7 linked regions of the Bombyx mori genome follow. The protein of the gene in region 3 binds, or shares a complex with, the protein of the main gene of each other region. Links are inferred from orthologs where the notes say so. Each region holds a gene or a part of one and is shown on either strand. Other genes may lie near its edges. The genes, in order: nucleoporin Nup188, nuclear pore complex protein Nup214, nucleoprotein TPR, nuclear pore complex protein Nup85, PCI domain-containing protein 2 homolog, nuclear pore complex protein Nup205 and E3 SUMO-protein ligase RanBP2.

Region 1 (4,338 bases), on a different chromosome or scaffold from region 3:
ATAAGAAGAAGAGTAGAGAAGAGAATTACTTCAGTGCGCCGCGTAGAGCACCGGTGACCTACACGGCAGTCAACGTGTTAAACAATTTTGTCATACACTATAGGTCTTTAATTAATTTGGGACGGAGCTTATAACGGTAACTATTTCAAAACAATAACAGGCATCAACCGAAGAACGTGTTACCAAAGAAATAATTCTGCCCGGATTGATCCTGCTCCTGCGCGAAGTGTTGCCGAACGCATACGGCTGGCGCTACACGAACATACAGGACCGGCGCGCCATGTTGCAGCGCTGTATGCGCTTCCTGACCTTAGTGTTGCAAGACCAGAAAACAGATGGCAGCACCGCGCTGTTGAAACGGACCTGTGTATATAGTTTACTGCACACTGAAAACGCTTTGGTGCTGCTCAAGATTATTTCACTGGGTGAGTTTTTTTTTCTCCTTTTTTTTACCTAAGCTGATGGTCTAGAGAGACCATTCCAGCGTTAGCAAGGGCCGTGCTTCGCAGAATCTACCATCAGATCGGAAACGCGACCCACTGAGAAGATCCGACGAGAAACTCAGTGGAATGTGTCTGTAGGCTAATTTACTCGCCGAGCCCGTAGTCGCAAGCGACGGATTCGACGAAAACTATGACCAGTGCTTGGGGTACCTAAAAGCACCCTTAGTGGATCGGGAGGATCCGAGATGACGTGTTTTTTCCTATCCATTCACTGGTACCCTGTAAGGGTGTAAAGGATATTCCACGGGACCGCAGACAGGTAGTTGAGCTCATGGGCACAACCTGAGAGGGCTTGCTAACACTAGCCTTTGCAAGAGCAGGGCAGTATCTACCACCGGATCGGAATAAATTGAAATTTTAATTATTTTCATTTATTTTGTTACTATATGTAGAGAACAAAATATAAAAATATATGTTTTATTTTAATTTTTAAGGAAATGAACATTTAGAGAACATGATACAAAATGAAACGAACTGGTCATCCGGTACGGGTTCACAGTTTATATCGATAATACAGAGGTGCGTGGCGGTGCTCATGTTCGCTTTGCGTCTCAAGAGTCTCGTCACGGGATCCAACGAGATGACGCCGTTGGAACATCTCATATTCACTCAGAATAAGCAGAAGGATTCATTGAAAGTTGTACCCAAAGTGACAAGTTATATCAATCACGTGTTCAACAAAAGCTTGGCCGTGTTGTGCTGTAGGCTCTTGAAGATGTTTGCCGATGTGAGTATTATTATATTTATTTAAAATCCAAGCAAAAGTGAAGTTTCATTTTGATAAAAAGGACATACACATACATGCTCAAAACTCGAAGGTCGAACTAGGATACTGATTAAGCAGCGAGGGCTTAGATACAATGAAAAAATAATAATAATTTAATATTATAGTTTATTTGTAAACTGTAAAGTTTTGCCACACTCTTGTTATTATTATTTGATAATTTGGTTAGTAAACTAAATCACGGGTTCCCGGTTCGATTCTCAACATATAAGTATTCAAATTGAAGCTACGAGTGGTTTGGGGCTCAATAGGTTTTATCATTATCTTATGACATCAATATTATTTTATAATAGAAGGAATATAACCACTTAACACCAGGTGCGCTGTGAGCTCGTCCATCCATTTAACAAAAAAAAAAAAAATTAAATTGATGATTTTTTTTTTACACAGAGTTTCCAGATGTCCTTGTTCGCGTCGTTGGACATGACCGCGTACCAAGTGCGGGTGTTGTTCCTCGATCGACTTCGCGACGAGTACGAAACGACAGAACTAAAAGTGGCCATACTAGAGTTCGTGGCCACGTGCGTGGGCACGCAGCCCGGCCTCACTGAAGCGTTCTTCATGATGAACTACGAAAAAACGAATGACGATAAAAAACTCAAGGAAACCGATAAAGATAAGGAGGAAAACCTGTACAACTACGAAAGCATCCTCGGTTATATGGCGGAGTACTTGGGAACTGTGAAGGCTGTAAGTCATCTTCTTTGTCTCCACCTTATCCCACTAGGTGGGGTTGGTACAGCGAAATTCCAGTCTCTTCTATCAGCCGTCAAGTCAACACACACTCCTCTCTTTCATATCGTCATTCACACACTCCATCCATGTCTTTTTCGGTCGACCTCTTCCCTCTCTACCTGGCACTACCACTCTTACGCGTCACATGTCCATACCACGCTAACAGTCTGTAAAAGGTTATAAGTCATCGTTGGAAGTCATTTATCAGAGCAGCAAACAAACAGAAGTACCTACTTACAGATTGATTCATAATTGTGTAATTATTATTTCAGGATGCGAAACAACTTCAAAGTCCGCTCTTAGGGTGCATAATGGGTCTGTTCCATGCTCTATGGAAGAACAATATGCAGATTCTTGTGAAAAAATTACGCGAAACCGCAACATTTTGGGATTACATGACCAGTCCACTCTTCAGTGAGATACAGCCCGGCTTGAGAACTTATTCGCAAATATTCAACGTTATCGGCATAGAACTATTCGTCTCTCGGGGGAAAATAGAAAACGCTTTGAAACTGATGCTCGAGCAATTGTTTGATACCAACAAAACCCATTTGGACAAATGGATCAACCATATATTTGCGTTTAAAGGTAGAAGCGAAAATGAGCCCGTCGATAAAGTGCCGGTCTGGCTTGGATTGTTAACCTCTTGGAAAGATTTCACCACGATCTTTTGCAAAACCTTACCGATAAGTTTGAATATAGCGCACAAAGCGAAAATGGTCACCCCCTGCATGACCGCCTTGTTGAACGAACTCGAAGATCTGAAAGACGGAAGACTGGTCGTTATGTTGGCCGAACTGTACGTCATAATGTTGGCCAATTGGAGCCACGATTGCTTTGAAAACAGAAAAGCCAGTGCCAAACAAATCGATCGTTTATTAACCAACACTGCGATTATATACGAATGCCTCCACCCGAGGGCCAAAAAAGCCATCCTCTCCATCTGCACAGTCGCGATCAGCGGTCTCGATTATGAAATAAAGGCTAACAGTGCCACCGCGCAAAGCATTATTAGATCCGTGACCAATTTAAATAGCGTTGAGTTGGAGAAATTGTTTGACGATTTCAAGGATCTTCCTAAATCGGACACGAAGACCACCGAGCCCTCGACGTACGAGGACGTATCGCCGGTCGTTCTATCATTGGCGATGTTGGAACAGTGTCTGGAGTTGTACGACGACATGTTCTCGGGACTATCGCAGTGGTTCCAGTCGAGTCGATTCATAAACAAGCTCCTGTGCTGTTTGCAGATGTGTTTACAGAGCCGTCGCCATTACCAGACGTCCCTGGCGGCGTTACGGTGCCTAACTGTGTACTCCCGGGGACCTTTCTCTAAGGAGCTCTTGCTGAGCGATATCGACCAGTTTTTATGGATGCAACTGTTGCCGCCAAAATTCGACGGCGTAACTTGGAAGCCCGAGGAGTGGTGGAAAGTGTACTCGTACAGCTTAGACTTTATATCCATGATGGTCATGAAACACGGTCAGTTCTTTGCGAGTGACGCGATCACATTTGTCGGGGTCCACTTGGAACATTTGATAGAGGCCATAAACCTGCCACGACAGGTCGTCAGCATCGATTCGTTAAATGTATGCGCGTCCGCTTTGAATCTTATAGTTCAATTAGTGAAATACGAATCTAGATGGCGCTTACAGAACATGCATTCGCTTTTTGGTATTATGGTGAGTATTATTGATAAGATTATAAATTACTAGTTGTTATTCGTGGCTTCACGATCAATGAAAAGGTTGCCGGAGTCAGTTTCCTCACATAATTAAAAAAAAAACATGTCAGTCCGTCGCTTCGTTTCGACATGGAAGAAAGACCAATGAACATAAAAAAACACTTCCATATATACCTTTCAATCCATTTTTCAGGAATTGATTAACGTAAATGTTCTAGTTGAACAAAGGTTATTTTTGTAAAAAATTTAATCCGACCCAATATTTTTTTGTCAAGTGAAATGCATATACTACGTTAATGTGCATAAAGAATATCTTCATTACATAAATATATATTTATTTTGAACAGAGAAGTATAAGCGCGTGCCTGTACCAATGCGTGATCTACATGATCCGATCGCGACGTACCTCCGACGCCGCGCAGCCTCCGAGCGACGACACTCCGCCGACGCCGTCCTTATTGCCAAGGTAAAAAATTATAAACATTTATGTTATTTAAAATATTTTAAACGAAACCGAAAAATTAAATTTAAAATTCAAGTACAAAATTGATCACGTCAATGGTAAGACAAAAATTTCACAAAAGCCATTTACGAACTGATCAACAGATGCATCGAGTTTTTTTTTAAGTACC
Region 2 (4,338 bases), on a different chromosome or scaffold from region 3:
TAGTAGTAACAATAATAAATGCATTAATACGATACATTCGTTCACGGCACTGAATATCGAAGTTGTACTAGATGTGGCTGGAGTATCAGGCTGCTTGGCTGTTTCAGATTTCATTTCTAGCTTAATCGGAATGGCTGTAATAAAAAAAAAAATAGTAAAAATTAATAACGTTTTTTGTGTTTAAATATGTTCTTTAAATTCCTTATACTCACTCTGCGTTGTTAGTACATTCGAACTTGTTGCAACTGGTTGAACTACCGGTATCAGCGGTGACGGTTTAACTATTTGCGGGACAAACGTTTTAGGAACATTTTCTTTTTCGGCAATCTTTTGAACGACTTTAGATTCATCGTTGACTTTGGCCGCTATGTTCTCTTTTGGTTTCTCTATCGCGTTTTCATTGTGCTTCACGACGGCTCTCACTTCTGTATTCGGTACTTCTTGATGACTTTTCAAAACGTCCGGTACATTAGAGATGGTGGGTGCAAATGGGGTAGTTGGTTTCATACCAAACAGGTTGGTAATAGGTTTATTAACCTTCTTGCTGTCGGCTGGTTTTGCTGCACCTTCAGGTTCGCCGGTTTCACTGGATTTCACAGAAGCGACAGTCACAGGTTTGGGTTCAAAAACCACAGGCTGTGTTTGAGCACTCGAAGACAAGCTATTTTGACTAAGTCCAAGATTCGCTGTCGACTTATTGGCCGGCACTAACGATTCCGCAGTAGCTGGTTGATCTAAATTTTACAACAAAAGCATCAGTTGGGTATAATTACAAAAAAATATGTACGAAGTCTTATCTTTTGTTTTAACCTTACTTGAGAACGGAGAAATAGGTGAGCATATTTTCTGTCCCATGAATTGCTTCAAGTCATTGTTAGGCGTTTGATTTGAAGACATATTAGGTACAGGCGATGTGTATGAGAATGGGGGTGGTGCATAGCAAACTCCAGTAAAATTAAAAGATTCAACAGGAATTCTAACTCGGGGTTCTTCGGGCTTCGGTTCTGGAATTGTTATTATTATTTTATTAATACATTATTTACATAATCTGTTGAAAAATTTTTGCAAATTTTCAGGCTTAAACAACTAAATTGTGGACTAAAAATAGAAAATAAGTACACGGGCACTGATTATTTTTCTAAGTAATCTCCTCATAACACACAGTAATTGCAATCCTTGTTTACATTGATTAGGCTAAGCATTACTGACATTGAGTTGGGAAGGCGATGAATGACCAGTATGATTAAAGATATTTAGTACACACATAAGTATGAAATATTCAACAAACATGCAATCATACAACCATACCGGTAAACAATGTTCTAGTGACGTTTTGAAGTCCCGGTACTGAGGGTTTGCTCTGAATGGGCGAGAACGGCGCTACTGTCTCGGTAAATTGTTTTGTTTCCATTTTAGGTTCAGCTTTAATAACATCTTTAAGGGGCACTGAAAATAAGACAAGGAAATTAGATTTCTGTATTATATGAGCATTTCTCAAAATTATTGCACAATAGACTTTAGCCTCTGTCCCATTTTTTTAATATTTTGTTCCGGCTAATATATTAGTTCATTACTACTTTTTATAAATTGTGTAAGCAGTATAACTACTCTACTTATTAGAAAGGAAAAAAACAGATTTAAATACAATGAGATTTTTTCATTAAAAATATATATCATAAATCAGCTTCAACCAGTTGTATGAAAAGTGCAGTGTCCCAATCTCAATATCTTACCAAACCATCGATCTTTAGTTGAATGGACATGGGCATTGTATAAATAAAAAATATTATTTATTTATAGCCATAAGTCACAATTCATCCTAAAACATCCTTTTTAGCATTACTTTATAATTAAATTTCTAATTAATGATTTTAACTTGTCCCGTAAAAAGTTCCACCTAGAAATTCCAGTTTTTGTTACCATAATTCTGAAGAAATATGATAATCGATTAATGCAGTTATATTTTAGAATAATGGTAGCATTAGCCGGCTTGGCATCCGTCTTGTTTTAATTTCGACTAGTTCTTTCTGGTGCCGGTACGAACGGTAAAAGTCAATATTTAAGCTAGCGGTCAAAAAAAAAATTCCACCTTTGTTACTCATAAAACATAGATAAGTGCAGATTTTATTGTTATTTCACTTAACCTACTATTAAAGCTCCCATTCTTGATTTCGTTAATCAAATCGAAATAAGAGTAATCGTGTGAGTTACATGTGTTTACAAATAAAATGACATGTTGTTCTTGATTTGTTACTTCTTTTTTTGTTACTTTTGTGTGGTAACGTATAAATGGAAAAGAGAGTAACAAAATAGGAAATCATTAGGCTGAGTATATATAATATATTATTATTATTATTTAACTTTCTGTTTAAAATAATTTTATAATAATTATTGCAATTACAACGGCGTCAATTTCTTTGTTTTTTTTGTTGTACTATTACAGATTTGTACTATGAATTTATTTTATATTATTTATTTATATAAATCAGTAAGTGAGATGTCAGAAGACGAAAAAAATAAACAAAGACAAAAGTGGCGTGCCTGTGTTTACACCTTGGCCTATCATGGCCTTTTTCTTCGACACATTTTATCAAGGCACCGATATGTTATTCCAGATTCGTCTAATAATCCGCTGCATTTTGTATCAAGTATGAACGCTGTAGAAATAAAAATATTATTACGTTGTCCATTTTTTTGGTGCCAAAGATGTGATTATGATTTATACGATCACTATCCAGCCGATGAATGTGATTATTGCTATTAAAGGTTTTTACTGAATTAGAAACCGTTAGGCCTCCTTTTCATTATGATTAAAAAAGAACTGAAACGATATTTTTGTTACCTACTCGTAAATGTTCCTAAATATTTGAATAGGGTATTTTTTAAACGAAAAATGTTTAAATGTCCTTTGACAGCAGTTCATACTATAATCTACATATATAAATATAATTATAATTATTTTTAACACGGGTCAAAGTTTATTATAATTTGAACTACTTCGAAAACTAGCCTTATAAAATCCTAGTTTGTTACCAATATTCCATTTTTGTTACTGTCCCATAAAAGCGGACACGTATTTCTTTTCAAATTTTTTATTTATTATCTTAAAACCTGCAATTTTTTTTAAAAAAGCAAAAGAAGTGTATTGTTATTTCATTTGTGAACGTATTTAAAAATAAAACAACATCAAAACTTCTTTACTGTGATTTTAAAACAAAGTTGTGGGCAAATGGTAACGTAAAGGATATATTACAACTTATATAAGTAACATTTTGCTGTAAATGTTAACAGTTTTTTATAGACACGTAAAATGATGGTTATGTCACCCTATTGAAATGCATAAAAGTTGACGAAATTGATTTGGTGTTTTAATTAACGTAATTGATAGACGGTAACAAAATAAGAATATTTCTCCACCTTGGTATATTTCTACACATTTCTCTACTTTATTACATATTAAACCTCAGAACAAACCTCATATTCAAAATCTTTAGACACCTATCTACAAATGAAAACAAAAAAAATGCTCTAGTTTAACATTTTTATTTTAGTACATTATTTTATTGGTGGTGCATTTATTTTGAGAAATGCTCATATATATTGTAAGGAGCCTCCGAAACATCGCCATCGAATACTCGGCAAGCCTATATAAGGAGGGTACCTAGATAATTCCGCACATTTTGCTCGTTACACTCGCAGTGCACGGACGTTTGGCGATAATCAGTGTTAGATGTACCCCCACTAGCTAAACGCACTATACCGTTACCGAGTAAGCCTATAAAAGCACCGTATTTGGCGCGGCTCGGCGTGCTCACGTGCGACTGCTCGGGTCGTATCTGGAGGGCAGAATCTTCTTTGTCGCGGTCGAGGGCGCACGGTCTTCCGTGCGTCCCATTACGGCCGGGGTTCCCCAGGGTAGTGTCCTATCACCTATTCTATACGCCCTCTACACTAACGACATCCCCACCCTGGAGGGTCACCTTCGGGCGTGGGAGGAGGACGTGAAGTTGGCCTTGTTCGCTGACGACTCGGCCTACTTCTCGTCCTCTCCTTTCCCCTCTGCAGCCATTATGAGGATGCAGAGGCTGTTGGATTTACTGCCCCAGTGGCTGGACCGTTGGAGAGTCGCGGTCAATGTGGGAAAGACCGCGGCCTTACTCTACGGTCCGGTCCGTATCAGAGTCGTCCCAAAGAAACTCAGCCTCCGAGGTGTGAATATCGAGTTCAGGACCACGGTCCGGTATCTCGGATGCGACATCGACCGCTCTTTGAGCATGGTCGCGCACGTCAACCGAGTCATCGGTCAGGCTCGCGCGGCCATGTTCTTGTTGCGGCCGG
Region 3 (4,338 bases):
CAATCTGCGAACTACGTCTTTGTTAAAAAGCGTTAGTCTTAATTATTCAAATAAAATAAAAAATAAAAATTATTCAACATAAATGAAAGTACATACTTGTTGAACGTCAAAAGAACTACCGCCAATTCACAAAAACTAGCCTCTGTCCTGAGAAGAATTGGCAAGAAACTCAGCGGGTGTATTTTTTTTTTATTTTTTTTTTTTTTTTTTAATTTTCATTTTTACAGTGAGTATTATAACATAACAATTATTACAATATTGAAATGCCCGGAGCGAGCAACTCATTCCCACTTTGTGCAATCTTCTAGCGTACATATTAACTAGTTCTGTCAAAAAATACGACCACGCTGAGGTTGAGATTCAACAGCAGATATAATGATTTCAAAACTAATATGTACAGTACCAGGCAATAAATATTACACACCGATATTTAGAAGGAGACAGTCGTCTAATTTTGTTTTGTTGTATAGCGTTACTTGTATGAGACGAAACACTAAAGATCCGATATCTATGGAGACTAAATGTCAATTCGGTAATGGCATTCCCGATCCTGCGGACAGAATGGAAAGCAGTCGACGTCGCCCCAAACATGTCATTTCGGATCCTCCCGATTCACTAACGGTGCTTTTAGGTACCTCAAGCACCGGTCATCCTTCCTGTCGAACCCGTCGCTTGCGACGAAGAACTCGACGAGTAAATTAACCCTCAGACACAGCTCACTGAGTTTCTCGCCGGATCTTTTCAGTGGGTCGCGTTTCCGACCCGGTGGTAGATTCTGCGAAGCACGGCTCTTGCTAGGGCTAATGTTAGCAACGTCGTCAGGTTTAAGCCCCGTGAGCTCACCTACTTGTTAAGGTTCCGCTAATATAGCCTCTCAAGGCTATCAGCTTAGGTAGAAAAAAAAGGGTAAGTGGCGACAGATGCTCTACGAAGCAAAAATTAACCGTCCTTTTCCCACGGTCGATGTGCAATATTTATGGCCGGGTACTGTACCTAATGTGTATTACCGAATAACTTCCACGGATAGGACAGTCGTTACAACGATACAATTGAAGGTTTCTGTTCATTTTTCAAGCGGGATAGCGGAACGTTATCCACGCTGTGATGTCATGGTCTGGCAGCCACGGTGGCGCTTTAATAAACGCGTATTTCGTGAACACGTCTATAAATATAGGTATACAAAGTATAGCGAAAGTAGTTGGCGTGAAATGCAGTAAATGTTAGAGAAATACTCAACATATATATTTAACATATTTTAGATATTACGACACATGTAACTACCACTTGTATTTATTTTTGTGACCTATTAATAATTTGCAAGCTTCCAAGATCATGCGGAAGCTGAAAGGGTTTCTATCTCATTTTAGGTATCCTTGAGTATATAGTACATTATTTTATTTTAGTATCACTACCACAAACATAGAAAAATTTTCCCAGTTCCTTTCTGGTTTGACTAACCCATCATTTCTACGTGGCACGTACAACGTAGGTGTTGAAGGAACTATACTGTCATCGCCGTCATCTGCACCGTTGCCTCCTAAAGACAAGGCGCCACTTGCTATATGGAAAAAAAATACTTCATTGTGGCAGGTCAGTTTTTTATAGATTACTAACGTCTCACGCCTGTGTAAGGATAAGTAGCACGCCTTAATCTTATTCAGAGGTTACCGGTGATTATAGACATCATAATCTGAATACCGCCACGAACCTTGAAACATGAGATTAAACTTCCAATTATATTATACATAACTATACAGCTGCCCCACTCTTTAAGCTGTAACGCATGACTCGCGGTACAAATAGGCAAGTGAGTGGCGGACGCACAATACGGCGCGCCACCAGTAACATGCGATAGAAACGCAATCGTCGCCAATACCATTAACACTGTTACTGTTCGATCATAATATGTCCGCAGTAGTCATTTTAGCTTCTTTGGTGTTGGGGCCGTTTTAGCTTCCTAGGTGTTGGGCCTGTTTTAGCTTCCTTGGTGTTGGGGCCGTTTTAGCTTTATCTGTGTTGGGGCCGTTTTAGATTCCTTTGTGTTGGTGAAACGCTTTCTTGTTTTGAAAGGTTAAGAATGCAGTGGTCGAGTTGTGAGCACAAAGAGTACATACGTTCGGTTCCAGAGCTGATGGCCTCGATCTGTTGCTGCGGGGGCGCGGGCGGCGCGGGGGTGGGCTCGGCGCCCGCCTCTGGGGACTGCACAGGTGAATCCTGATCAAATAAAATTACAGTGAACCATATAAGTATTGCCACTAATGTGCAATAGTATTACTCATATTTACTTTCACAGCATGATGTGACTGACACTAATGCACTAAGTAATTTCCTGCTCCTTCTAATTCATCAAGCCTTCTCAGTTTAATACTGCAATAAAAGTGTTGCTCTTTGAAACTCACTTTAAAAATAACCAATAATGAAGAAATAAAATAAAAAGTATGTTTTGTTCAAAAACCATTATCGAATCCTAGCACTTCAGGGCACAACAAATATATTTATTTGTAAGAGCCAGTCTCCTCACAGTTTATCGACGAGGACGCGGCTGCTTATTTTCAACATAAAATACTAACAAACATTACAAATAGAAGTGAAGTTCGAAATTGTTTTGTGGAAATTTTCTTCTCTTTGTTTCTTTTTTATTTCTCTAACATTTTTATTTTTATTTAGAATAATTACTTGTTTTTTTACAGATATTATATTTCTCATTGCAAACAGTTCTAAAAGTATTATCGATTTTTTCGTTACTCTATTGAATTATGATTTCCTAATAGTTTTATGATTTGATTATTATCCTGTTAGGTTATAAATGCGAAGATTATATTGTTATTGACATAAAGTGTAAAGTACACAACTGGAGTTTATAAGTGAAAGATATATTATAATAATCAAATAGAACTTTTACATTAATGTTCTATATCGATAAATCAAAATGCCACACCAAACTAACAGCCGCCGCACATTGCATCTTGCACATTGTTAAATGATTATGCCTAACAAAATTAACACGTTTCATGATAATTTAAAAAGTTAGTTGGACAAAAAAAAATTATATTCTTTTTCATTGAACAACAAGGATTAACCCAAGGCCTTCCTTCAGCACTTCTGTGCTAGAAACAGTACACTGCGATGAGTCTCGAACCTATGCTCTGACATTAATTAAGTTCTTAACTGTCGAGAGAGACAACTGGTCAACACACAAAATTACCTGTTGTGCTGTATTCTCAGAGTCATCGCCCTCGACTTCCTCTTCGTCGTCTGCGCCTTCCACTTCCTGTTCCTCTTCCACATCTTCTTCATCCTCTTCACCTTCCTGTACAAAATAATATATGATTATATAATGCTCTCATCTAAATAGGTCAGTGTAAAGCTCTTTGTGTATTATGACAGAGTACTATGATCGCCAACCGGCATCGACTGATGGTAGACCATATTGTAAGCCCGGACGGGTAACCTGCCTATTATTCCTTCGAAGCAGTAATGTTTCAGCAGTTCTGTTTTGATAGGTTTGATTTCAGTTATGGTAATACAATTGAGATTTCAACCTCATGTCTCAAGATGGATGGTGGCATTCATGTTGTGATGTCTATGGAGATGTCTATATTTTAATTGCAAGAAAGTAGTTATCATGATGTTATTGAGATGTTAACTAGATGTCTCTAGGAGCGAGGGGTGCCAGCGTTCATCGCTTAACATTAGACGCCCGTGAGCTTGTATGTTCGTCTACGCTATCAAAACAAATCTAGTGCACCAAACGGCCCCGATATTGCTAAGAGTTCATAGCATCAGTCTACAACATTAAATTATTAGCTTACTCTGTACATGGTACCAGTGCAGCGTTCGTCGTCTTCCTCAGAGTCTACTACAATAACACCCTCGTCGTCTTGATCGCATCGTGATGAAGTTGGTACTTGATATTCCACTTCTACAGACCTTTCGAATCCCTATTTTCAGATTTAATAAATTATCATTACCTTAATTCGACAGTTAAGATTTTTATATGAAACTTTAATTAATCTCCTAAGCCTATGTGTCGTTGTAAAGTATTATTAAGGATCATTCCCGATGATGAAACGTCATTGCTATCCTAATAAATGAGAATCTATAAAACTTTATTACTAAGCCAAGCACTATGATGGGCGGCTCGCTTGATATTGAACGGTAACCGAAGCCCATAAAACGTGAATGCCGCCACCCACCATGAGACATGAGATTGAAGTTTCAATTGACATTTTATTTCTTAGCCTGCTAATTTATATCCGCTGATTTTTATTACGCAAAAAACAAAGACATTAGTCGTCTACCTACGACCGCCTGTTGATCTATTTTTCGAGAATAGTT
Region 4 (4,827 bases), on a different chromosome or scaffold from region 3:
GGAATTTAGAAGATATAAGCCTAGTGACAGAGTTTATAAACACAGAAAACAGAAGAGGAGAAAGAACACCACCTTGGGGAACGCCCGCACTGACGTTCTGCCAATCCGAGAAAATCTCGTCAAGACGGACACATTGCGAGCGCCCCCGAAGGTAACTATCAAACCAGTTAATAGCAGATGAGGAGATATTGTTTGATTTGAGTATTTCGAGCAGAACATCGAAGTCAACAGAGTTAAAAGCGCTGCTGAAATCTAACAACACTAATAAAGTTAGTTGTTTGTTTTCCATGGCCCAGCGAATGTCATCGGTCACTTTTAGAAGAGCTGTAACCGTGCTGTGGCCCTTGCGAAAACCAGATTGGAAGGAGCTAAGAAGATTGTGGGAGAGGAGAAAAGACGACAGCTGACGGTGGACAATGTGCTCAAGGACTTTGGAAAGAAAAGGAAGTATAGATATAGGCCGGAACTGAGATGGCAAAATAGGATTGGGGCTTTTTGGGATAGGAACAACGTAGGCTTGTTTCCAAGAATCAGGAAAGTTGCTAGAGGTAAAGGAAAAATTGAAAATATGGGTAAGTATAGGTGCTACCGTTGGAAGAATTAGGGCAATCATTTTAGAGCATACGTTATCAATTCCAACAGCCGTGGATGAGATGGAGAAAAAGGAATTACGGACATCAGCAACCGAGACTGGACTTAAGTCAAAAATAGGGATCCGGGGTACGGATAGACTTGAAATCTTAAGCAACGTGGCCGTCTTTGACGAATCACTGAGTGACACAGGAGGGAGAGAAAAATGCTTATTGAGGGCGCACAAGTCAGTATCCTTGACAGAAGAGACCGGAGTTTTGCCAATGCCGACAGATTTAAGGAATCTCCAAGTATGAGCAGGGCTGCGATTTTCAAGTGATTTGTGAAAGTAAAGTCTTTTAGCATCTCTGCACAAATGGTTGCACCGGTTGCGCAGTGCTTTGTATATGGCCAGGCTGTACCAATTAATTAAAAATTTAACTAATCTTTTTACCAGCTTACTGGCATCTGTCACTTACTTGATGCATATCACCTTCCAACAATGCCCGTAAAGTCCTATCCAGCCTAGAGCCTGAGGGCATAGATCCCATTCCAGCACAGGCCGATGCTGCAGCAGACAACTCATGAGTCCTAGACCAAGGTGCTGTGAACATTACGTAGCCTCCCAACATATCAAACCACGATGTGTATGTGCTACGTATTGACTCAAATGCTGAATATTCTCCTATGATTAACTGTGGGACAAAATTGTATAAATTAGTAAACGAATTACACAATGTTTTAGTATAATAAAAAATAAGCCTAATTAGCTCACTTCATCTTCCTAAAGCCTATTTTAAGACTTAGTGTTAATTAATGAACCACTTAATAATATAAAAAAATAATTCTTGAAAACATTTTCAATTAAGAAAAAAATTCATTTCACAATATTCAAATCATAACTCATTTATTTTGAAGTTATAGATTAACTGATTAAATTAATTAAATGTTCTTATTTGCTGTATATTATGCTGTTATTATTACCGTTATTCAACAGGTATGCTTGCATCTGCCATGTTCCTATTTGATTTGGCTTAGAACGGGGAAATTAGCATAGATAAATAGGTAATTTTACAAATTTTTTGAATGTAGTAAATGATGATGATGGTGGTATACACTTTAATCTAAGAATTTTGAGGACAAGAACAGTTTCTAGTTTATGCAGTTACTTAATTGATTCACACATCTTTACTTACTCTCATAATAAGTTCAAGTTTTGGTTGTGATGCCAACACTCTGCTAGTAACCTTAGCTCTGCATTCAGCCTGCCAATGCTTCCAAGTTACTGTAAACTCCCCAGTTGATATACCACCATATATCTGTAATTTTATATCCATGTTATGTAGATGTAAAGTGTTTATGGCAAGATGTGAGGTAAGATCGAACTTTTAGCTATAGGATATCCCAGGTTAAATTTGTTTAATAATATACAACTTTTCATAACCACAATGAAGTCTTTGATCTGACACAATGGTTACATAAATTAATAATAACATAAATTTATAAATTTTGATGGTGTTAATTGTTTTTCCCAAAATAGTTTTCCAGCTGAAGTTTGACATGTGTGGACTATAACCTATATCATGTGAACAGTCATTCAGTAGTTTAGACATAAAAATCTAATAAGACAAGAGTAAAGTTCATATATGGCTGAGCCTTTACTCGCCCACCTGTCCTGGTGAAACTGGAAAGGCCTCCGGGCCACCAGTAATCTTTCATTCATAAAGAAAAAACATTCATATAAAATATCTTATTAGCATGTTCCAAACATCTCTAAATGGTGATGGAATTGTTCAGATAAATTGTCTCTTAACTATCCAAAGTATAATTTTTGCTCTTAATTAATTTATACTGTGGAATACTTAATGAAAATCAATTGTTCCCTTTATTTGTGAGGAATTTAAATGATAATTTGACTTTAGAAATTATATTTCATTTTTATACTCACACTATAAACAGGCATACTCCGTAATGAATTATCAACAAGCTTAAATTCATTTGTTTCTGATAATGAATTTAATTTCAGTAGAGCTCGGGCGACATCTACTCGCCCTTGCACAACCATGCCAATCACAGTATCCCAATAGTCATCGTGGTCTTCTGAACCTCGCTCACAGGCCTCCAGCAACTGCGCTGCAGTCTGCTCATGGCACGGAAAATGGAATCGAACCCATTCTAGGAGGTATGGCAACACAATGTCTCCGGGAATCTTATCTATGTAAAGGATCTCACATAAATGCCAAATACATTCAACAGAATAAAATATTGTAATGTATGATTGTAAATTGATCATGTCGCTGCCGTCTTTCGCATCATTAAGGGCTTCTTGCAAGTTTTCAATGCACACTCTTATAATAGAACGATATTGTCGTGAAAGTTTTAATAATTCCACGTGATTGTCATTATTTTTTGAAGAATCGACGAGTTTCTGCAGAGATAAATATGTACCATTGGATTCGTTTACCAGTTTTCGTAAAATCGGATGAAATAATACAATCTCGTGACGTATATTGAGTATTTTGTTTTCGACATCATTTTTTGGTGTTTTCGAAACAGTTTGACTGCGTGGGTAGATAGAAAACTTGTTACCACTCCTCCACGCACATCCTACGCCCTTATTGAAACATTTTTCTGGTATATTCTGTAAGAAACAAAAAAAATAACTTAACTCAAACATAACCTATATATTCGTTGAATCATGTTAATTACTTACAAATGTTTTAGCTCGAATAATAGGACTACTATCATCGCCACGAACATTATTGTTAGAAAAAGTCGTTATATTCATTTTGTATTAAATCTTTCATGTACACAATGCAATTTCACATAAAATTTTGTAAACATTTGAATGCGAAACAGAATTGATCAGAAACCGCCGTTTCAAATGCGCTGATTTTTTTATTTGTTTCACACATAGAACAAGGTGAAAGCAAAGGAAACAAAATCCATACAGCCAATTATTCTTTTTGGTCAAATGCGTAATAATAGTGGGTTAGTAATCTTTTAGCATGTGTATATGGGCAGGTGTGAGAAAATAAAACAAAATCGCAGGACATGGCTTAGCGGTATCTTTTTCAAAAATACGCACACAATTCTATTTCGACGTCACCTCATCTCATCTCATTGCAATTTCAGATGATTCAATTTGGTTTCATTCCTTCCTATTAGATTTAGATAAGTTGACGAGCAATACGCACCTGTTATTTTTTATAATTCGTTGTCTATTCGCTGGTGTCTAAGGGGCTATTTCAGCTACGCGCAAACAAGTAGATGAGCTCAGAAATTCAACCTGAGAAAATTTGCTAACACTAGCCCTAGCAAGAACAGTGCCGCTGCAAAATCTATTACCCGATCAGAATCACGACTCATTGAGAATATCCGGCCAGAAACGCAGTGGGTTGTGTCTATGAGTTAATTCGATCATCGAAAACTTCGTCGCAATTGACGTGATTGATGAAGAAAGTAACCGTGAGTGAAAGGATCGGATAGGTCATGTTTCGCGATGTAATTTTACGTTGCCTCGTCCTTTGAGTCGGATATGTAATAAGCAGCGGTCACATTAAATAGATTATCGTGTCGCACCGAGCACTACGTTAATATTGCCACCGATCACAAAACATAAAATCAAAGACTCATTTGTATTGTATAGACTATGTAGTCCACCTTTCATAGCGGAACGCTTTCTAACTGTTATGCTTTAGAAACAGACAGAACAGTGATACCCAATAATGAAATTTACTGAAATCTACATGTAATTTCGTTCGCGTTCGACTTTTGTACTTCGGGTTTCAACTTCTGCACTTTCACAGATGCTAAACGATTGATAATCTACCATGATTATACGTTTAAACTAGAAGCAACACTAAATTAACAAAATAAAATAATCCATACAGTTACCTTGCCTCCCCGCCGAAAAGTTTCTTACAAACTTTAAATACACGAACATACGGCCAACAGTGCTAGACAAACTTTAACCCAAGATAACTAAAAAGTCGAGTATGATAGCCGTAAACATATTTTAAAAAGGTATGCATTGACAGTTGACGTTTTTGTTTGTTTTCGTAGTTTGACGCTCGTGATTCATTGTGAAACGTTTATCCCCTATAATAAAAAAAGTTTTTAAGTTTATATTTACCCTGAAATTAAATCCTTCCAGTATTTACAAGGTATAAAGGTACGTGAACATTTGATGACTTTGCATTTTTATTTAATAAGTAATGTCGCTGACCGGATGACCTGTTGGAGGACATATTGTTG
Region 5 (4,866 bases), on a different chromosome or scaffold from region 3:
GCAGGATTCAAAACAATTACACATCATGTCATTAATCTCTCATCATCATCATCTTTTATTAAAATCCACATTAATTACACTCAATTAATAGATATTATTGTTATAGTGCTTAACCATATTCACTGACAAGGTTTGGACTCATGTTATGTATTATATGTATAATATTTTGTTTTATTAATGACATATTTTGGTGTAAAGACACCCCTACCGTTGTGAGTTTCTATTTTATTTAATGACAACCCTAAACACATTAGTGCTACTAAAATAAAAAAACTGGACTACTGAACTGTTTTGTGTATTTTTATGGATATTATATGTAATCAAAAAGAAAGTATTTAAATAGTGAAATTGCGTCAGATATACAATTGCTCATCATCACATTTCACTTAATCAGCCTTTATGCTAATGGAATCTTAATTTTTATTAAAACAATCAAAAAATTAAGTGTGTATTCCCCTAGGTATTATTTAAATGGTATAAATTTAATACAGACTAGATAATGGAGGAAAAGCATTTTGTTTACTGACAACCACTTTCTTGTGTTGGTATGAGATGTATCCTTTGATTTTTCCATCATATATGAGATTTGCAACAATACATTGAGTTTCATCTGAATCAACATCTTCCTGTCCCATGATTTGTAATGCTGCCTCGAAGCTGGCTATGTCTATCTGATGTGAATTCTCCGCTAAATATACTTTCCTAAACAAATTTCTGTATGCTGTAATCTTTAATTTTTCTACAATCAAATAAATACCAGCCGTTATGAAGAACTTTTCATGTTCCTCCATAACCATATCGATACCACGCAAATCTCCATTTTTCACAGCTGATATTAGATCCCAGAATTGTAGCAAATCATATTTCTCTAGTAAATATTTTGCGGGCATGAAACCCAACAGCATTTTCACAGGAACTAAATAAGTTAGAATGAGCCTTTTATTTCGTATGCTTCTTCTGTGACAATTTTCAAAAGCAAACGATAAGTATTCATCAGCTAGACGATAGTCTGAGTCAAACATGGCTTTACGACCCACAAAATATCTGTATGTAATTTGTTGGGCCAGTGGGAATTGATCTTTGAATGGTGAAGAATCAATGGCTCTAATCAATGGTTTGCAAAGGTGGAGCTTGTTTATCCTGAAATATACTTTAAGAAGTTGGTTTACAAGACACAACATGCCTATCTTTTTGGTATCCACATCTGAAGCTCTGTTGTCAGCAGCACAGACTCTGAAGCAAGCTAATAAGCTCTCTGCTGCTTTTTCCATAATTTTACTGCCATTTTGAGCTGAAATATTGACAAATGAAATTAATTGTACAGAATACAGATTATTTAACACAATATTGACTAAGACAACAACTCATGCAAGTATTTGAGATAATTTCGTTTTTTCGACATTGTACCACCATAACAGAGTTGAATCCTACCACCTGTGAATATACTGAGCACTTAGGGTTAGTCATTCTTCAAACAAGACTAAGGAGACAAATCTTGAGTAGAAGGGAACCTGCACTTAAACAGCCACCAGATGATGAGTGGTTACTAGAGTCTGTAGACGTTACTTTGTGAAGTCTGCCTTAAGTGATGAAGTTTAAGGCTGAATTGTATAGTGTAATTGCTGCACTATTCTTCAAGCTAGAATACATGATTGCTTTAGTACAGAAACAAGCAGTTTGGTAATACATACCTAGTTGTGCAAACTTATAACACAACCGACCATCATAAATACTATAAGATCTCATTTCTATGACACATTATTTTCCTTGGCATTTGAAGATTTCAATATGAGTACTCCAGGCATCTTATTCTTAATGCCCTAATCACTTGATACTATTACCATCTTATCTTAGCTCTTGAATGATGTATGCAAATTCATACTTACGGCTAGATGCCTCTGCTTTCTGTGCAACAAGTCTAAGATCTAAACATGCAGCATACATAACCGGAAGGCACCAGTTCTCTTCTTTCTGTCCCTGTAATAGCTTTACGACAGAGGCCACACATATACTCTGATGATCGTATGCCTCAATGTAATCACTTGCATATAATGCCTGGAATGCAAAGCATTTTTTTTTATTGCTTAGATCGGTGGATGAGCTTACAGCCCACCTGGTGTTAAGTGGTTACTGGAGCCCATAGATATCTACAACGTAAATGCGCCACCCATATTGAAATATAAGTTCTAAGGTCTCAGTCTCTGACCGAAATGCATTACTGCTTCTGACTACTACTGACTCAAGAGGTCTTGCCACCAGTAAAAGTATTTGACGAGAAGCTAATAAAACGATATATTTAAAATACACTTAACAGGTAATGTTCGCTGTAGTAACGGCCAGATTAATAATGGTACATTTACTATTTTTTAATCTATATTTATCAATTTAAAACCAGAATTAAATTCATATATCTCACCTTAAGACATGATAAGTGTGCAATTACAAGTTCATCTAATGGAGCAACACAATTTCCTGTGACAAGGGTTGCAATATCGCTAGATAATAGATTCCTATTGTAGACATGTTCATCTCTTAGAGACAACAGTCTAGACAATATGTTACCTTGTCCCGTTCTGTACATACGTTCCACACATTGTATGTATTGATTAAGAGTGCCAGTTATCATCGACATTGTGGTTAGGTATTACTGGATTTTTAACTTTGAATGACTAATTTTAATATACAAAATTACAAGAATGTAGTTTTTCCTATAATTTCGTCAATCGACATTTCATGATTGATATTTATCAAAGAATCAGAGTTTATTAGCGCAAAATCGGTCTCATGAAAACATTGAAATTTTGTTTTCTTTATATGTCATTTCCACTTTCCACAGCTCAACTGGAGAAAGGATAAGTTTTTCATTCCTTGGATAGGCACACGGAAAGAAGTCTATACCGCTAAAGCATTTGGAAGGCCAAGACTATACTTATTATGTGAAATGGAATGTAATTAAGTGAAATCAAATGTTTATTTATTTTTTTAGATGAAGTGAATTATAACAGCGGCAACCATACATTTTTTTTTGTTTGAGACACAAATTGCAGGCATCATACTGTACTAACGATGGGTTAATACTGATATTTGTCAATATACAAATATATTCGTTATGTAATATTATAATACCTTAACTAATACGTGAATATCCTGATATCTTAATATACTTTGATAAAACGGGTAAACGAGTTAAACCTAATACGGTATTCGTGAAATAAGTTAATAATCATAGATAATACACATTAGTTATTAATAATATAAATAGTATATTGTATCTAGGAATTTGACTTCAAGGAATCAAGAAATGAAGGTTCAAACATTAAAAAGTAATGCATTTAAAAATTCCCAAGCTGTATTACGAATATCTTAATGAATACTAATATATCGGTCTCACCCTTATACTGTACTGTGTTCCATTTAAAAAAGTAACCAGTGCAGCTATTAAAGGAATGGCTTCGCAGTATACTAATTTTACATTATATTTTACAGTGCTCCCAGTGTACATCGGAACATAGCCTTAAGCATTAACACAGGTGCGAAAAAGCTAGTGAACCACTGTTTTATACGTTTAAGCATAAAGTAAATGAACAAAATGTAACAAGTCACATTAATCCTTTTCTCACGATCCCGCCTAAAGGTCTTGAGCTTTTTGTGTCTGTTACACGAGAGTTTGTTATTTCTACCAGATAGCCAAAGGGAATCTATTTTTATATTAAATTGATGTACCGTATTTGCAGCTAAAAAATAGATAATATGTAATGCCTACACCTATCTGACGCAAACGATACATATTAAAACGAACATCAATCTGTGCACTTAATACACGAGAAGGCTTGGGACTTTTTGGCGGGAATGCGAAGAGTGAAGTTGTGAGATTTGTTTTATTAAATTTTTGTCTATTAAGTGTTTCTTCAGGTTTAAATGTGTAATAACGGTGGTTTATTAACTATTTAGTATCTGTGAAAGTGCTCGTTCGTCCCGTTTCATCTCGTCTCGTCTCGTCTCACTTCGTTTTCATTTTCATTTTCATTTTATGACATTTCGTGCATTGTTTTATATTAATCAGCTTCCTTCATTTCATACCACTTTTCATAAAAATAAAAATAAGACTTGACTTAAAGGTCCTACTTACCAGGTCATAAAATCCCTAAAAATTAAAAAAGAAGACTTTGTTGTTCTTTATTTACACTTCTAAGTTTTTGCTTAAATCACATTTTAAATTACGAAATAAAATGGAAGAAAACGTTGCGTTGGATTCTAGCAAACAAAAAAAGTTTATCAAATCCATTAAAGGATTGCAAAAAACTATAAAGGTAGTATTAATAACATTATATATTTGAGACTAGGTTATAAAAAACCAGTGTACTTATTCTTATTTATATCACAGAAGAAAAAAACGCAAGCGAAGGATCAGACCCCCGTCACCCCTAAAGTACAAGAAGAGAAAATAAAAAAAAAGAAACGTGTAAGAGGGCTTGTTTATTTGGGACATATCCCACATGGATTTTATGAGGTTGGTTACAATTCTTTTTTTGCTTTAATTGGCAAACTACCGTCCCACCGTCGAAGAAGAGTCCCTGTTGTTAATAGACCGCCTGGAATAATTTGATTTGTTGTAAATACCAATAAAAAAAACGTACAAAAGGTCATTTATTAATTTTTTACTGGTGGTAGGTCTTGTGAGTGGGCGCGGTTAGGTAACAACCACCCTGCCTATTTCTGCCCAAAAAGCTATACTTTACAAATTATTTGCAATTATTTAGACTCATATCTTTTGTGGGTTTTTTTCAGCATCAAATGACACAATACTTCAGTCAGTTTGGAGGTGTTTCTAACTGTAGAGTGATCAGATCAAGGCGCACTGGCAGA
Region 6 (4,833 bases), on a different chromosome or scaffold from region 3:
GTCGTGGCCTAAAGGATAAGACGTCCGGTGCATTCATATTAAGCGATGCACTGGTGTTCGAATCCCACAGGCGGGTACCAATTTTTATAATGAAATACGCACTCAAAAAATGTTCACAATTGACTTCCACAGTGAAGGAATAACATTGTGTAATAAAAATCAAACCCGCAAAATTATAATTTGCGTAATTACTGGTGGTAGCACCTCTTGCGAGTCTGCGTGGGCAAATACCAGCACTCTGCCTATTTCTGCCGTAGAGCAGTAATGCGTTTCGGTTTGAAGGGTGGGGCAGCCGTCGTAACTATACTTGAGACCTTTAACACCAGGTGGGCTGTGAGCTCATCCACCCATCTAAGCAATAAAAAAAAACACCATACCACCAATGAGACTGAGAGATGTAAATGCTGACTAGTACTGCTGTTAGTAAACCCTCACTAGACAATGTTAACATCACACAATCATTCTTATTTTTCAATTTACAACCTTTTTCTGCACATAATGTATTTGTAAAATGAACTAATTTAAAACAAAAATTTGCACTCACCAACAAACACCTTCTCTGGCCATGCATAGTTCTTTTAATGCCTGCACAAGTGCTCTACGTCCATCATAGTACAGCAAAACGGCCACAAGGCCTCGTGGCAGACCAGGGTGACGTGGTAACTGTCGCTGTGCTGTATGAAGCAGCTCTAATGCAAGGTATTCATTCACATTGAACATATCTGTAGACAAAAATATATTTTATGGACTATATTATAATGAATTCACAGAACTAATTTTGGTTCTTTAAAACATTAAGTGAAACATTAAAATACAATGAAAAGATTTAAGTTACAGAGATGTGAACCATGCAGGATTTACACATACTTACAATGTTGTTTTTATGAATGAACTGGCCTGTAGGCTTTTCCTGTTTCACCAAGACAGGTGCGCGAGCAAAGGCTCAGCCAGGAAGGAAGGGATTTATTTGCTAACAGCTGCCTGAGCGCCTCTGGCGGAGACCTAACAACTCAAAGGCAGCTGCTTTGCAAATGAATCTACTACCAGATTGGAATCGCTAACAAGATCCGGCAAGAAACTCACTAAGCTGACGTATGGGTTAGGTGCCCGTGTGAGTATGGTCACCAGTGTCTCTAAGAATGCTCCTAGCAAGCTAAGGCATCTAATGCAAGAGTTATTGGATCTAATGTGTATGGACGTGTCTAGGGCGTCTACAGTGACTGGCTCCTGGTGAGCAGGAGTTGGGGAGTAGTCAGCGGCAGTATTGATAACGCGATTATCTTGACAAATAGCCTTGCGAAGTACTCTTCTGAAACTGACTTCAGGTTTTTCTGGATCAATTCAAGATTACCGATGTATCAAAAAGTTGAGCAAAAAAACTTCAAATACACAAATTTTACTATAAGAAACCAAACAAAATATTGGAGTGAAAATTTTTAAGCTGGAGTCTTGAAGTCACAAAAGATATAGGATTCCTTCGTATTTCTTAAACTTTTAATGAATTCAAATTCATAATATTACCTGATATAATGATAGCTTCATCCACAAGTTCTTTAGATATGATGGTCCTCCCTATGCTAGGCAGTGTGATACCTTCAGTCATACCCCTCTTTAGTTCCTCCCTGCTTGCCAGGTTTTTTGGCTAAACAACATAAAAAAAATACAAATTTACAGTAAAGTATAACACAACATTAGGTTTTGATTTTCAAGTTCAAGGTTTCAAAAAGAAACCACCAGAGATGAAAACACAAATTTAATTTAGTTTAATTAACTAAATTTTATAATCATTTTATACCTATCGGTTTACATTGTGGCATTTAGCATTTGAGTGGATTAATGATGACTTAATGAATAGTGAAATCAAGGTGATAAGGAATTAAATCAATTGCATGAAAGAGTGGTACTGCACATTTAATTTTACAAATGGTCAATTGGGAACCTTTATTTTATTACTTATAAGGGCAAATGAGTTCTCAGACCACCCAATGTAAAGTAGTTACCAGAACCCCTTCACATCATAACATTAATGCCTCCACTGTATTTGCAATAGACATAAAATAATTTATAAACAATGTAACCTATTATGAATATTTACAAAAGTAAGATTATTATAAAAATATAATAAAAAGCACACTTGACTTCTTACAATCAAATTAATTGCTTTTCTTGATACTACATACACTTCAAGATCATCTCGAGTTTTGTTAGGTTTAATGAAACAGAAGTATCATGAAAGAAATTAGTAAAAAATATGTCACTCACTGGATTCTTAAATAAAGCTAGAAATGTTTGCTTGTGTCTTCTAAGAACTGACTCAAAGGTGTGTACAGCATAAAGGGCCCCACCACTCTCATGTGTAAGATAACTCTCCACTACAGACACCAACTCTTTGTAGGGCGTCCACAGATCGTCTGTGGTATTGCCTGAAAAGTGGTAGTTCATTTAGACAATTCAATTAAACGTATGAACGCAGTTAGGAAATAATAATTGTCTGGTCTTATTTCTCGGTGAACCGATATATGTTTGAAGATAATCAATGAAATTCATTTTAATTGTTTTTTACAATTTTTTAATAGATTTAAATAGAGAATTTTTTTAAACATACTTTGTTTAATTCCGCTATATAAATAGGAATTCTACTGCAGAGAACGACGACTGCAGTATTGTTTAAGAAGATCATTTGAAAGAAAAAAGGGAGATTTGTACATTTATACTTTTAGTAAAGAGAATAAAACAAATTTAGGTTATATGTCGGTATCAGTTTTGTTTACCTTCGTTGATTTCCATGATTACTTAGCTGTTGGCATCAGACTTGAAACATAAATATTAGTATTTCACGCAAACTTAAGGTATATGACTATCTTATTAATTATATTTATTATTAAAATACTATTAGTTTGGCGTTTGAAACTTGAAATTTTTTGAATGTCTATAAATGAAGCGACAAACAAACGCGCGCGGTTGCTTTTTTTTTTGACAGTTGTTGTCAAAGTCAAGTTGAGTAGTGGTAGCAGTTCTATTTTTCCAACTAGAAAAGTAAAGATATCAAACCATATATCCTAATCTTTTTTACATATTATTTTTTACGATTTATGAATCCCTTATTAATAAATAACAAATCAAAATAATTTAACATAAATCCACACAAGTAACATCCCATACCAGGCACCAACCGACTGACCATGGAATTAGAGATATGGAATAAACTCAGTAAAATGTTGGTTATTTCTCAGTTATGTTTATGTTGCTTAAATGGGTGGACGAGCTCACGCCCCCCCCCCCCCGTCACCGTTCCCGTCGAAACGTAAATTAACCGTCAGACACAGCCCACTGAGTTTCTCGCCGGATCTTCTCAGTGAGTCGCGTTTCCGATCCGATAATACATTCTGCGAAGCACGGCTCTTGCTAGGGTTCGTGTTAGCAACGTCGTCAGGTTTGAGCCCCGTGAGCTCACCTACCAGTTAAGGTTCCGCTGAAATAGCCTCTCAAGGCTATCAGCTTAGGTAGGAATAAAAAAACCTACCCCTGGTGTTAAGTGGTTACTGGAGCCCATAGACATTTGCAACGTAAATGTGCCACCCACCTTGAGATATAAGTTCTAACTTCTAAGGTCTCAAGTAGGTATAAGTATAGTTACAACGGCTGCCCCACCCTTCAAACCGAAACGCATTACAACTTCATGGCAGAAATAGGCGGGGTGGCGGGTGGCGGTACCTACCCGTGCGGACTCACAAGAGGTCCTAATTTTATAATAATTTGCGGGTTTTATTTTTATTACACGATGTTATTCCTTCACTGTGGAAGTCATTCGTGAACATTTGTATTAGAAAAATTGGTACCCGTCTGCGGGATTCGAACACCAGTGCACCGCTAGATACGAATACACCAGAAATCTTATCCTTTAGGCCACGACGACCTCAGAGTACAGTAAAAGCTCTTTATTCGCGGAGTATATGTTCCGTAAATATGCCGCGAACATAGAAATCGTGAAATTTCATTTATCAGGCAGCGAAGACGGCTCCTGTCAAAGACAGAACCAATACAGCGGCGATGTCATATCAATTTAGCGTTTTGTTTTAGGCCTGGTGGTAATAAGATCTATTTAACTTTTTATTAGTCTATTTGACGACGCGTTTACAAATGATATTCGATTGGATACCTACTTATCGGAATTCCTTTTTAACAATGTATCGATTACGTCCGCGCAACGGCGTATCCAGGAGGGGGGTCATGACCCCCCCCTGAGCTAGTTCCAGGACTTGAACTAACTTGGACTAATTGAAGAACATCATGATTTATTTATTATCTTAACTTGCCCACGACTATGTGACCCCCTCCCGGCGCCAAACCTGGATCCGCCCTTGCGTCCGCGAATAAAGAAATTTTTAGCATTTTTTTTAAATCCCCTAATAGTGAAAACGCAAATGAAGCGCGAACAAGGAACTTTTATTGTATGTTACATGAAAGTTTTAATATATTTATTTACGTAGAGCTCATCATCGTAATAAAAAATATATAGAACCACATTGAGATAACTTTATTAAACATATTTCAAACAGACACAACAATTACACAGGTAAAGTACACTAGAAAAATACATTAAATTTCAAGTCTTGAATTCAGAATATTAGAGTAAATGCAAAAGACGAACATACATTTTATATTAATTTCTCTATTTTTGACAAATACTCAATACACTTATTCCTGTAAAAGGTGTTATTGTAGAACACGATGCTATAGTAAAAATCTCCGGCATTCGTTGTTTGTACATTCAACGAATTCAACAAATCCTTTTTGTCATCATCTAATACATTATCACATTCAGTTTCAATA
Region 7 (4,338 bases), on a different chromosome or scaffold from region 3:
GTACTCATTGGTTTTTTAATTTCAAGTGAATTTTGGGGCTTTACAGTCAAATTTGATGGAATACCAAATTTAAATGTGTGTGTACCAGTACCATCAAATATAGATGTGGAAGTGGGTGCATCAACTTCTGAATTAGTTTCCTCGTTTGATTCATGTGATGCTGGTGCAATACCAAATTTAAATTTCGGAATAGAAGCTTTTGAATCAGTTGATATTTGAATATTTGTATTTTGAAACTGTATTGTTTTATTTTCTAAGGTTTTAGCATTTTGACCAGGTATTCCATAAGAATATTGCAATGGTTGTACTTCTGGTTCTGGTTTATTATTTGTTTCTGAAGGATCTTTAAGTGTTTTACAGGCAATGCAATTTTTTACTCCAATTTCATTGCGAATTAAACACATCGGGCACTCCCATGTTCCTGGATGCTTTTTGAATTTGTCTCCAAAACCTAATTCTTTATTATTCACAACAAGTTGTGGTTTCTGTTGTTCACAACAAGCACATTTGTCAAAACTTTCCAAGTTATTGGTATAACATGTTTCACAATACCAAGACCCTGGTTTTGACTTAAATTTATCTCCAAATCCAGTTTGATTGTTCTGTGTGGCTGCATTGTTTCCTTCCTTGGAAGTTTTTGATTCATCTTCCATATTTTTCTGTGCCATGTTTACAGTATCAATAAATTTTCCGCATTGCTCTGGAGTTTTAAAACGCAAACAAAATGTTTGTGTTACCAGTTCTCCTTCTGAAAAGTCCTTAGCGCACCAAGTAACAGCTTTCTCCATATTCTGCATTTTTTGGAATATCATAAATTTTGTTACTGAATGATTGCAACATACTTTCAAAGTTTGTTCTCGTCTCATTAATAATCGTACTTTTTGGGTATTTTCTTTGTGTATAAGTAACTTCATGTTACCTAGTCCTCGCTCTTTCCATTCTTTGTCTGAAGCATCGAAACGTAGGAGTTTAGCACGGTTCTCAAACAACACATTTTCGTCTTCTTCTCCAGTTTTTTGATCAATCAATGTAGGTAAAGGTACAACTGGTTTAAATTCTGCAGTGGGTTCAAAGTCCTCTACTGTGTCAGATATGTTTAATTTTTTAGCAGCGTCTTGTGGAGGTGTAGTATTTTTACTAAATATATTCGTATTCACAGTTGACAAATTGGAAAATGGTGAACTTGACATAGATTTCAAAGAAAAGTCAGTAAATGGGTTGGATTTACCTACAGTTGTTTCAGTTGGTTTAGAACAGACTTCTTTTTCATCCTTAATTGGTTTTATGTTTGGTGTACTACTAAAAGTGAATCCTCCAAGCACAGATTTACCAGGAGTAGATTTAGGATGGTCTTCAGATTTGGAAGAAACGTCACTAGGGGTAGATGCCTTGGTAGTATTTTTTAAATCATGTTTGTCAGTGTGGATTTCAACAGTCTTTGAATTAGCTGCTTCTAAGCGTGCTTTTTCAAAATTTCTATAAAATTCCTGTGCTATATCAGAAGTCTTGAAACGTATGCAAAACATTTCAAGTACCACTGCTTCATCTGCAAAATCGTTGGCGACCCAAAAATAGGCCTTTGTTTCATTTTTCATTGGTGAAATTTCCATTTCAGAAGTAATTACATGATTAGCACAAATCTTGTGAACTTGTTCACGTCTCATCAAAACTCTTACTTTTCCAGTAATTTTATGTTTTAATAATTTAATTTCGCCGAGGCCCCTTTCTTTCCATTGCATGTCTACAAACCTAAACAATTTAGCCCTTGAAGAAAAAATTGTAAATTCATCTTCTTCTCCGGTTTTCACTTTTATTTCGGCAGGTAATGGTACTATCGGCTTGAAGTCTGGACATGGATCATAGCTTTCAATAGATGTATTGCTACGTTCTGATATTGTTCTCGATTTATTAAGACTAGCATTTGGTGAAGGATCAATACTGGCATTATTAATTTCAGTTTTAGCAGCATCCTTTATCAATGATATATCACCCATCTTGTTGAGTACAGGAATTGACTGCGTTGTTTTAAAAATGGATGATTGACTCCAATTTGTCGATGAACTCACAGTTATTCCTGAATTTGGAATACTAAAAACGGATGGTGACACTGTTTTTGTTTCATCCACAGATGGCATAGGAATTTGATAATTATGAGGGGAGCTTTTTATATGTTTAGGAGGAATAGTGACACTCAGTATAGGAGGTGGTGCTGTAGTACATGTAGGTAATGGATCAGAAGATGTTATCACAACATTGACAGGTAACGATTTAGCTGTCTCTTTGGATGTTTTATTTACCAATTTAGATGTGATGGATATTGAAGATTGTGTTGAAATAATCGGAACTGTTGATTTAGCTGTTGTTGTAACAGTAGTTATTGGTGTAGCTGGTACAACTGGGATAGTCGGAGCTGAAGGCACTGGGACAGTCGGAACTGGGGGTACTGGTACAGCTGGTGGAACAAGTTGTGCAATATCTAAAAACATTTGTTCTGGTGTTGGATATACACCTGGATATTGCGCCATTTGGGACCTGGCATGTTCAAATATAGGAGCAGTTCCAGGTGTTGACGTTTGAGCTATTTGGGCGTAGTGATTGTATAAGTTATAAAAATTTTGTCCATATAAATGGTATGGATTAGGTGGTGCTGGAAAAGGTGGAACAAGTCTCTGATTATATGAAGCCATAGCTTGAGCAGGACTATAAGGTAGTTGTGTAGCATAGCCTGGTGTGTTCTCATTATTTCTGCATTCTTTATCTGTATTGTATAAATCACTCTCATCACTTGCTTCTGCTGGTTTTTTTAACTTGTTTACTTCTATTTTTAATTCAGCAATTTGCTTTTTTAGTTCACCGACATCTTTGCATTCATTTCTACACTGGTCTATTTGATCCTTTACATGATCTACTGAAATTTTTAGAAGTTTTATTTGATCCGTAGTTATTTGGACATTAGAGTGAATAGTGTTAGTTATTTGATTTCCTAAGTTGCGATTCTCATCAAACCATATTCTTGTTTGTTGCATAAAATCATTAATTGTAGCATCTCTCTTGTTTAAGTTTCTGATTTCTGTCTCTATTCTTTCTAAAAATTGATGATCAATTCTTGAAGTGTCCATGAATTGAGAATCAACCGCTGTTCGATAATTTGTCATATTTGAGTTGTTTAGGTTAGGTTTAGGTTTAGGCGTAGAACTCAGATTACGAGTATGTTGTGCGGTAGCTCGGACTGGCAAAAGGTCAACAGATGAATCAGAGTCATCCTTAAAATTGTCATTTATTGATACATCAGGATCTGCTCTGTTTAAGTAAGTTTTAATGTTTTCTATCAAATCCTGGATGTTGACATACAAAGGGTGGTTTCTGTCAGGTTCAATTTGTCTAAGCCTGTCCAAGGCTTTGTAACAATAATGCTTAGCTTTTTTCATCATTACAAAAAAGCTTGAATTAGTATTAACTGAAAAATCTTTAGAATTATCATTTTCTAAAACAGCAATTTTAGTATATGTTTGACCAAGAAGGTAGTAAGCTTCTGGAGATTTTAAAGATGAAGCAATGTCAATAACTTTGTCATATTCATTTTCATCAAAATGATGAGATGCAACATATAATTTGCTCTCTTCTATTAAAGAATTCAATTCTTTAGAGTTATGTTCCTTGTTGATATAGGCAAACATTCTCTTTTCTGGTATTTTTACAAAAATTTTGTTAATCAACTTTTCAAGCAGAGGAATTGAAGAAGAGTAGTATAATGCTGCACGGAATTTCCAATGATTCTTCTCTTCGAAATTTGAAATAGATTTAGCTTTGTTATTAAATAATTGTCCCAGTAAACAAAGAAGATGTGGATCAAGACCATGGTTATCAACACATCTAACAACCTCTATACCTTGACTCAATGTGGCTCTAATATCTGTAAGCTCAGTACCTAATTCACTTTGACAAAATTTATAAGCACAATCCCACCATTTCATTTGCGAAAGTGTACAGAGGCAATCTGTAATATGAGCAGGTAAAACATTTGGTTTGTCAGTGGAAACATAAGACATCCTGGTAAGTTTTTGTTGATGGGCAGTTAACGTAGCACAGTATAGAAATGCATAAATATCTAGATTATTTAAAGTTTCGGGCCCACAGCTACTCATTGTTACAGTTGATAAATTAAAAAGAGTGCATCGAAATTGAGTGTAATCTTTATAGTTCAGAAGTGTCCACACATAATGGTGTAGTGAATTTCCAAATACTTTTTGAGCATCATCATCATATGCTTCAACTTCAATTTTGCGAGGTAGTCTTAAAACTGGAGGTTTATAAGCGTCTGATGCAAAATATGAAGAT

The links.
Region 1: nucleoprotein TPR (region 3) and nucleoporin Nup188 share a complex: the UniProt entries of both Drosophila melanogaster proteins name them as parts of the nuclear pore complex. The link is inferred for Bombyx mori from reciprocal best matches to the Drosophila melanogaster genes Mgtor and Nup188.
Region 2: nucleoprotein TPR (region 3) and nuclear pore complex protein Nup214 share a complex: the UniProt entries of both Drosophila melanogaster proteins name them as parts of the nuclear pore complex. The link is inferred for Bombyx mori from reciprocal best matches to the Drosophila melanogaster genes Mgtor and Nup214.
Region 4: nucleoprotein TPR (region 3) and nuclear pore complex protein Nup85 share a complex: the UniProt entries of both Drosophila melanogaster proteins name them as parts of the nuclear pore complex. The link is inferred for Bombyx mori from reciprocal best matches to the Drosophila melanogaster genes Mgtor and Nup75.
Region 5: nucleoprotein TPR (region 3) and PCI domain-containing protein 2 homolog share a complex: the UniProt entries of both Drosophila melanogaster proteins name them as parts of the nuclear pore complex. The link is inferred for Bombyx mori from reciprocal best matches to the Drosophila melanogaster genes Mgtor and PCID2.
Region 6: nucleoprotein TPR (region 3) and nuclear pore complex protein Nup205 share a complex: the UniProt entries of both Drosophila melanogaster proteins name them as parts of the nuclear pore complex. The link is inferred for Bombyx mori from reciprocal best matches to the Drosophila melanogaster genes Mgtor and Nup205.
Region 7: nucleoprotein TPR (region 3) and E3 SUMO-protein ligase RanBP2 share a complex: the UniProt entries of both Drosophila melanogaster proteins name them as parts of the nuclear pore complex. The link is inferred for Bombyx mori from reciprocal best matches to the Drosophila melanogaster genes Mgtor and Nup358.

What each region holds. Positions count from the first base shown.
Region 1 is NC_085111.1:4,864,996-4,869,333, reverse strand, and holds part of nucleoporin Nup188, read left to right. Parts: intron 1-160; coding exon 161-425; intron 426-937; coding exon 938-1,230; intron 1,231-1,677; coding exon 1,678-1,977; intron 1,978-2,294; coding exon 2,295-3,704; intron 3,705-4,053; coding exon 4,054-4,172; intron 4,173-4,338. UniProt on the Drosophila melanogaster protein: Component of the nuclear pore complex (NPC), a complex required for the trafficking across the nuclear envelope. Required for proper protein transport into the nucleus.
Region 2 is NC_085123.1:8,936,802-8,941,139, forward strand, and holds part of nuclear pore complex protein Nup214, read right to left. Parts: intron 1,447-4,338; coding exon 1,309-1,446; intron 1,005-1,308; coding exon 816-1,004; intron 735-815; coding exon 213-734; intron 135-212; coding exon 36-134; intron 1-35. UniProt on the Drosophila melanogaster protein: Part of the nuclear pore complex. Serves as a docking site in the receptor-mediated import of substrates across the nuclear pore complex including emb, RanGAP and phosphorylated Mad. Protects mbo/Nup88 from proteasomal degradation at the nuclear pore.
Region 3 is NC_085117.1:12,306,535-12,310,872, reverse strand, and holds part of nucleoprotein TPR, read right to left. Parts: intron 3,942-4,338; coding exon 3,813-3,941; intron 3,311-3,812; coding exon 3,206-3,310; intron 2,215-3,205; coding exon 2,115-2,214; intron 1,559-2,114; coding exon 1,459-1,558; intron 1-1,458. UniProt on the Drosophila melanogaster protein: Component of the nuclear pore complex (NPC), a complex required for the trafficking across the nuclear envelope. Functions as a scaffolding element in the nuclear phase of the NPC.
Region 4 is NC_085123.1:528,158-532,984, forward strand, and holds the start of nuclear pore complex protein Nup85, read right to left. Parts: upstream 3,472-4,827; 5' UTR 3,359-3,471; coding exon 3,284-3,358; intron 3,212-3,283; coding exon 2,519-3,211; intron 1,890-2,518; coding exon 1,767-1,889; intron 1,266-1,766; coding exon 1,050-1,265; intron 669-1,049; exon of another isoform or gene 297-668; intron 152-296; exon of another isoform or gene 1-151. UniProt on the Drosophila melanogaster protein: Component of the nuclear pore complex (NPC) that seems to be required for NPC assembly and maintenance. Required for nuclear import of phosphorylated Mad via importin msk.
Region 5 is NC_085115.1:3,909,866-3,914,731, forward strand, and holds the start of PCI domain-containing protein 2 homolog, read right to left. Parts: upstream 3,019-4,866; 5' UTR 2,633-3,018; coding exon 2,417-2,632; intron 2,056-2,416; coding exon 1,887-2,055; intron 1,292-1,886; coding exon 483-1,291; 3' UTR 1-482. Other genes in the region: Nopp34 (nucleolar phosphoprotein), read left to right, coding at 4,230-4,310, 4,385-4,510, 4,789-4,866. UniProt on the Drosophila melanogaster protein: Required for the export of nuclear mRNAs and involved in mRNA trafficking in the cytoplasm.
Region 6 is NC_085121.1:1,006,035-1,010,867, reverse strand, and holds the start of nuclear pore complex protein Nup205, read right to left. Parts: upstream 2,996-4,833; 5' UTR 2,788-2,995; coding exon 2,772-2,787; intron 2,424-2,771; coding exon 2,263-2,423; intron 1,643-2,262; coding exon 1,522-1,642; intron 723-1,521; coding exon 545-722; intron 1-544. Other genes in the region: cap-specific mRNA (nucleoside-2'-O-)-methyltransferase 2, read right to left, coding at 4,659-4,833. UniProt on the Drosophila melanogaster protein: Plays a role in the nuclear pore complex (NPC) assembly and maintenance, but with limited role in NPC permeability. Required for specific nuclear import pathways such as Mad import.
Region 7 is NC_085121.1:11,016,765-11,021,102, reverse strand, and holds part of E3 SUMO-protein ligase RanBP2, read right to left. Parts: coding exon 1-4,338. UniProt on the Drosophila melanogaster protein: E3 SUMO-protein ligase. Component of the nuclear pore complex (NPC), a complex required for trafficking across the nuclear envelope.